Linked DNA regions of Rattus norvegicus. The protein of the gene in region 1 interacts with the protein of each later gene in a pairwise test. Links are inferred from orthologs where the notes say so. Each region holds a gene or a part of one and is shown on either strand. Other genes may lie near its edges. The genes, in order: Lrrc7 and Nqo2.

Region 1 (3,095 bases):
AAGGTCCCAGGCAATGTTATCCATCAAAGAGGGGGATCTATCCTTTCAGCTGAAGGCCTCAGGAGCATTTGATGCTCTAACACAAGAACTCTTCCAGGGAGCCCTCCATCTGGCTGCCTTGCACCTCTCCTGTAGAAGGCCGTGTAGCCCTGATGGCTGCTTTCTGAGTGTTTCAAACTTTCACACTGCTCTGAGCTTGGCTTGCTTCTCTTGGCGGAGGCTAAGCCTAGAACATCCGCCATAGTAATGTGCTGTGAGTTTTTGACCCAGAAAATTAGGCTTTGAAAGACACTTCTCATTAGAAGCTCTCAATATATTAAAATGCACAGAATAGTCGCTTCTGTGTAAAAGGCCAATCTAGAATCAGCAGCTAATTGTCCAGGTCTATAAGACTATGTATGGTATTGTGTCATCCTGGCATAAAAATCAACACCAGAGCTAGTGTATTGTTTGGAAAATGAAGTAACATTTTTCTCCAAGTGACAAATTCTATGCCAAAAGAAACCACTGTACTTCTAATAAGTGACACTCATTTTAATAGATCCTACAAAAATACAATATTTTCAATGTCCCCATAAAACAAACTTACAAATATTATCCTCAGAGCTCTGGTGACATCCACGTGTGATTTTACTGTAAAATTCTATAGAATATTTAAACACTACCATACGAGATAAATTTATTGTATAAAAAAAGTGATGTAGATATTTCAGGGAATGTATACAACCAATTATGGAAAGCTGATCTGAAATTTTTAAATTAATATTCTAATCAAATTAATGACTAATATAAAAAGAAATACTTTAAAGGATTATAAAACAAATTTTGAATTTTGACACAGGGAAACAGAGTGCAAAAAGCACATTAACTAGGCTGTTTTCACTCTCTAGTATAATTGAATTCATGTTTATGTTCCTTAAAACTTTTCATTTGGAGAGAAAAAAAACAATTTGTCTATTTCTGTCCACAAAACAAAACAGGAATTAAGATTAATGATATCAGTAGACCACAGCTCTGAGAAATCATATCTGAAGTTTCATATTTCAATACCAAAGTTTTGAAACCACCGTAGCTTTCTGACAAGTCTTTCTCTATAATAAACGTTATCAATTCCCAAAATTCATTTAAAATGATTTAAAAGTGTAGCAAATTAAATAAATCGGCACACAGAGAAGTTCCACATTTACAGTAAAGGGATCACAGGGGCCACAGTTTATAGTAAACATAACCCCGAGAAAACAGAACATTAAAGCATTAAGCCTTCCCCGCCACCCATCACTCACTGCTTGTGGATTTGGTGAAGAGGCCAGTCCGCAGTAGCCTGTGGTCTGTCTCTGAAGTCTGCTCGTGTCCTCTAAATTAGCTAAAGGCCTTGAACAGATTTACCTTCTCCGGTTTTTACTCAGGTCCCAGAGATTAATGGATAATTATGAATCATTCCACTCTACCGTGGGAATTTAGCAAATGGCTGTGGAACCAAATATAAATCCTTTATACTTTATGTACAGTTGCTTCCATAAGGCGTAATCATGTAATTTTTTTATTGAAAAAGATTCAATATAGTAAAGTCTTATTTTTAAGATATATTTTCTTTCTCGGTCCAAGATGTTTACGAAAATATCGTTTTTCTATATTCTTTTTTTGTTTATATGCCAACATATACCTTGTGCTAGAAATACTTTATGGGGTTACAACTCTTTATATACAATTTTTTTTGAGGCAGTATCTCTGATGGAGAGCATAACTTGTAAAGAGCTTGTGTGTGCTTCCGTGCTCCGAAATGATAGGAAATCCACTTTGAGAAGACAACTTATTTGATTTTAAAAAAACAAAAACAAAAACAAAAACAGAAACAAAACCGCACCAATGCACAGCCAGAGGCTGCCGCTGGAACTGATACAGAACCGCGCAAACGCCGTGATTATAAGTAACATTTTCCAGGGTGGTCAAGGCTAACGTACAATATTATACACCTGGCACTGATGTTTGCCATTGGTCCAGCAACTGGCAAAATTTGTTTCTATGTATAAATTTATTTTTAAACATTATCTCTGGCCTGACATATCTTCACTATTTATAAAAACATTTAGACAGTGAGCTCACGTTGAATAACTAGGTCTACTGTGTTCTGGAAGCTCTTCAGTAGTAAAACAGCTTTTTCGTGTTCCATATGCACAAAACTGTGTCCATTTGCCTGAAAACACAGGAATAAAACAGGTCAGTCCATGCAAACCGTTTATCCCCTCTGCACCATTGTGATTACAGGACTCCAAGGAGCACAGCAACAAGATTCTTAAGATTCAGAGTGAAATGGCTTTGACAAGTATTTATCACACACCCAGTATTTCTTTGTTTGTGTGTGATCATAGTGTCCTACTGAGTAGGATCAGTCAGGTGGACTTACGACACAGCAGTTCAGTTTTACTGTGTTGTTCTTTGTTTTGTCATTGGGGTTTTGCTGTGCTAGAGATAGAACTCAGGTCCTGGTACATTCTGGGCAAGCACTCTGCAAGAGAGCCATGCCCCAGCCTCGTCTGTACACGTACCTAGTTGAGGCAGCACTTAGTTGACATTATTACTGGCACCAACTCACCAGTATATCTTTAAATTATTATTTTTATTTTCATGTATGTGTATGTGTCTGTGAATGCTGGTCATATATACGTGGGAGCCTGTGGAGACCAGAAGAGGGCATTGGACCCCTGGAAATGGTGTTACAGGTGGTTATGGGCTGCTTGGCATGGGTGCCAGGAACCACACTCAGGTCCTTTGTAAGAGAAGCGTGGCTTTTACCCACTGAGCTGTCTCTCTAGCTCCACGTTAGATATTTTAATCATGCCAAGTGTAAGTGAACACTTATGGCACTGTTTAATCTTATTTTGACCTACTAAAAATAGTTGATTTATATATTCTTTAAATTAAAATGATCTATTACTAAATGCTACTATTGTTTCCAATATCTGCACTTTTTTTAAATTAAACACAGTTCAGTGAATCCATGTCTTAGGAATAAAGCAGCAGCATTAGTCACAGAGAAAGCCTGCAATACTCTAGCTAAGGGTCATCAAGCAAGTCATCAAAATTCATTTGAAGTG
Region 2 (4,591 bases), on another chromosome or scaffold:
CAGATACAAGCCCTCATCAGCACATGGACTTCTGGGGACATTCAAGATCCAAACTGAACGGAAAAGTTTTTGTTTGGAGCTGTGCAAACATTTCAGAGGCAGTCTGATTAGTGTTGTCATCTTTAAAGGAGCCATACAGAGTTCTATTTTATTCTGAAACAAAACATATGAGGTGAGGAGTTGAGGATAGGCTTTCCTGCCTCCTTGCCTGATATTCCTAATTCCACTTGCCCATTTCTGCAACATTAAAGTGACATAAATGATTAACTGGAAATCCCTTGAGGCAATGTTTATTATCGGTGCAGCTCATTTTGAGAGCATGACCCACAGCTGAAACTCAACATTCAATGTTGGTCTTATTTGTTTGCTGTAACTGAAACAATCCCAGACTGGTGGAAAGCTCTTAAGATTGTGTTCCTAGTGAACTCTCAACTTCTACTCAACTTACACCATTATAAACACCAACGGAAACCATTCTGCTTCTAGTCCCCAGTGGAAAGCAGCTTACCTAGAGTGCGTCTGTGAGTTCTTTTACTCACAGACGCAGTTGTACTCCACCCATACATGATCCCACAGGTGCTGGGGCACGTATGCCTGCAGCTCTACTACTAAATGTAGACTATCTCCAGGTCAGGACTCACCGGCAGCTCTGACCCTGCTGAGGAGTGCAGTAAAAATGCCATATTCCACCTCTTAATATAAGAAAATGGCAGCAGAGAGATCAGCACACCACCATTCCTTACATTGGTAAGATGTCCCTGTGGATAGAAAGCCAGAAAGCCAACAGCAAACACACACACACACACACACACACACACACACACACACACACACACAATTTTTCACCTAAAATTCCTACCAGCTCCTTTCCCCAGCTCTCCAACTACATACAGCACTGGCCCCAAGACTTTCCAGCTTTTAAGGGAGGTCCTAGGTCTTGCAACATTTTGTTTTAATTAACTATTTTGTTTTGGCCTATATGTCCGTTCCACTGTTTCCTCCAGTGATGACATCTGGCAAAAGTGTCTTACTGTGGTGTGATGCTGATAGGACAGGCAACGAATGCATCCCTCAACACAAATATTGTTTTTTAATTCTTAAATCTTTGCAACCACTACTCTGATTCCCTGTTCCTGTAATTTGCTCTTTCAGGAAACAGAATCATGAAATGCATAACCTTTCGGGATTGGATGCTCTTACTCTGGGAAATTCCCTGAAGTTTGAAGCCGGATGTATTCACAACTCATTTCTTTTTTGATTGCCCAGTAGTACACTGTGGGGCTTTTCGTGCTGTTTTGCCTGGATATATTAGTGCCTGTGAAGGATAAGGTACAAGGCAGAAAGGCGCCACTACCTATCTCCCAGCACAGGCTTCTGGCCAGATGCAAGGAGCGAAACTGGTTTTGCCCACAACCATGGGGCAGGAACTGCAAGGAGACTGGAGAGGAGGGAAGATTGAAGTCCAATGATTCTGCACTGACAGGCCCTAAAGGGAGTTGTGGGCGGGCTGTTGCCCACAAACGGCCAAAGGTCAGTGTGAGGGCGGGGCCGGGTGGGGAGTGGCCCTGGGCCCCCGTGCGCAGCCGCAGTGCCTGCCGGCACGCTATAGGCATTCCTGCCCTTGACAGTGGCTGTGTCGCGTTTGTGTGCAGTGTTCCCTCCAGGAGGCAGAGGTGAGAGTCTGTTCACTGCTTCCCTGGGGCATGCGCGCCCTTCCTGCAGGCAACTTTGGGGGTGGGGGAAATGCAGGACTAAAGAGGTCCCTTCCGGTTTTTAGCTTGCGTATTAAACTGTGGACCCGTGTTCCCAAGGTTCCTGGCACCTCGAGGCTTTCTTTAAGTATCAGCAGGCGCGTCCACATTGAGTCCAGGTCTTGATTAACGTTAATAGTTGCATTTTGTCAGCCCACTTCTGTATACTGAACAGTTGTGGGTCACTGCATATTTTTTACCAAGGGGTAAAAATAAAAATGAGCCGAGAGCAAAGTTTGTACAGGGTGCCTTCCCTTACCCTGGAACCTGAAGCAACAGCGGTTCACTCTGCCTTCAAGAACTCTGGCCCAAAAGAAATATCAGCTTCTATAACCTTAATGTAAAACTATCGGTTTCTGTAACCCGTAATTTCCGGAAATCTCAGTCAGAAAGATACAGAAGACTGAACTTTTGTGAATCGTAAATGCTTCCAGGGGTAGGGATGGGGGCGAGCTAGCGCACTCTGGGTAAAGATAACCTAAGTGAGCACAGTGCATCAGGCAGGCAATGATGTCAATATGGGATAACATATAAGCGGTTAGAATGACCACAATAGAGCCCACGTGTGTAGAAAGAGGCATGGAAAATGATACAGTGAAAATATCAAAATAACTACTGGAGGTTAAGACAAAATTATGCTTATCTCTAAATATCATATGGCTCATTTCACGTGGCTTGTAGGCTAACAACCACCCCTCCGCCCCAAACAAAACAAACAAAACCCTGGGTAACTTGCAATTTCTAACTAAGGAGAGTATCTGAGAGTGAAGAGCCTGTATCAGGAGATTGTCTCTATGTTCCCATTTCTTATGCTGGGAGAGTTGAGTAAGAGGAAATTTCAACCCTGATGCACCCAGCCAGCCACTCAATGTAATGATACAAATGTGTAAACTGGGCTGAGTAGCACAGATGGGGTGGTGAGGCATGAGGAGGTAGAAGACTGTAAAGTACACCTAATGGCACTGCTGTCAAAGTCCTGGGTCCACTTCGGGAATCTCAGGATGTGTTTTGCTCACCTGCCGTGGCCCTGGGAATCTTTGAAAAGATGTAACAACCTTGGTGCTATCTGCCTAAGGTTTTCTGTTACTCGCTGCATAAAATCTTTATCAGTCCTCATTCCCCGACCCAGATCCCTGGCTGTAGCACTGGCCACTCACTTCAAACCAGAGGCCAGCAAAATAACTTTTCTTGCTGTTTCTTGACCTCTTCCAGATCAGTTCCCATGGGGTCTTTACCCGACTACCTGCCAGCTTACTCTCCTGGACTTCTCTCTTGCTCCAGGTTTTTGAATGGCTAGCTCAATATCACCATTTACTCTCTCTGTTTAGACAACCTTTCTGCAATGGAACAGAGAGAGGAAATGTGGATTTGTGGCATCTACATAATGTTTAGTGACTGAGATATGAGAAAGTCCTCTGATTAGTACTCTGCTAGGGAAACTTTTGATCTGCTCTGTCAACATGCATCACTAACCAAGGGCAGAACTTTGAACTTTGTTTGACCTTTTCTAAGCTTTCCCCTAGACTTAATGAGTAAACAAACAGAACTGTGTCAAAATCTTGTGTCTCAAGTAGCCCAACAACATCAGAACCTAGTTTCATTTTAGCTATATTTCTCTAGTGATCAATGTGCCTTTTCATGTGCTTATTAGGCTCATCTGTATAACTTTGGAGAAAAATATGAATTGGATTGTTTGGTTTTTCATGGTTGATGTTTATCTGAGTTTTGGTTGTGGCTTTTTTTTCCTGCCAATAGCAGGAGATATTGTATCTTAGTTACTTTTCTGTTGCTGTGATGAAACAGTGGCCAAAAGTGACTTGTAGAAGAGTCTATTTTGACTTATGGTTTCAGAGGGATAAGAGTCTACCAAGGCGAGGAAGCATGGCAGCTAGCAGCAGCCATGATGACAGGAGCAGGGATCCCAGAGTTCCCCTTTAATCACAAGCAGGAAGCAGAGAGAGGGAATGGGAAGTGGGGTACGGCCATATAATCTCAAATCCTGCTCCTAGTGATATGCTTCCTCCGGTGAGGCTGTATGTCCCCATAATCTCTCCAAACAGCATCACCAAATGGGAACTGAATGTTCAAATACCAGAGATTATGAGGGTGCATTTCTCATTCGAACCAACACATCCTGCCTCTAGAAAGCTGTCTGGAGATGGCTAGCCAAGACAGTAATGACATATATGAGCCTCTGTGATGGTTTGTATATGCATGACCCAGGGCATGGCACCATTAGGAGGTATGGCCTTATTGGAGTAGGTGTGTCGCTGAGGGCGTGGGCTTTAAGACCTTCATCCTAGCTGCCAGAAAGCCAGTCTTTTCCTGTTTGCCACTGGAAGAAGATGTAAAACTCTCATTTCTGCCTGCACCGCACCTGCCTGGATGCTGCCACATTCCCACCTTGATGATAATGGACTGAACCTCTGAACCTGTAAGCCAGCCCCAATTACATGTTGTCCTTATAAGACTTGCATTGGTCGTAGTGTCTGTTCACAGCAGTAAAACCCTAAGACAGCCTCCTCGTGTTTGAAGCCCATTAGGAAGCACATTTTATCCAAAAACCTTTTACTGAAGGGAGGTGTGCTGGCCAACCCTAGGGCTTGCTTGCACATGCTAAATCCACCCAAGGTCTCCTAGAATCACATTACATTATAGCCAAGTGTGTGCGTGCCATCTTTCTTACTTTCTGGGCCACCCTGTGACTCTAGAGCAGTGCTTCTCAACCTGTGGGCCACAACCCCTCTGAGGTCAAAGGACCCTTTCACCAGAGTCATTTATATATCAGATTATCCTGCATATCAGATTTTTACATTACAGTTCATAACAGTAGCAAACTA

The links.
Region 2: the proteins of Lrrc7 (region 1) and Nqo2 interact in a two-hybrid assay, tested with the Homo sapiens proteins (2 studies listed by BioGRID). The two-hybrid records come from large-scale screens. The link is inferred for Rattus norvegicus from reciprocal best matches to the Homo sapiens genes LRRC7 and NQO2.

Annotation. Positions count from the first base shown.
Region 1 is NC_086020.1:249,804,935-249,808,029, forward strand, and holds the end of Lrrc7 (leucine-rich repeat-containing protein 7), read right to left. Parts: intron 2,195-3,095; coding exon 2,087-2,194; 3' UTR 514-2,086; downstream 1-513.
Region 2 is NC_086035.1:31,140,723-31,145,313, reverse strand, and holds the start of Nqo2 (ribosyldihydronicotinamide dehydrogenase [quinone]), read left to right. Parts: upstream 1-1,651; 5' UTR 1,652-1,673; intron 1,674-1,743; exon of another isoform or gene 1,744-4,185; intron 4,186-4,591. UniProt on the Homo sapiens protein: The enzyme apparently serves as a quinone reductase in connection with conjugation reactions of hydroquinones involved in detoxification pathways as well as in biosynthetic processes such as the vitamin K-dependent gamma-carboxylation of glutamate residues in prothrombin synthesis.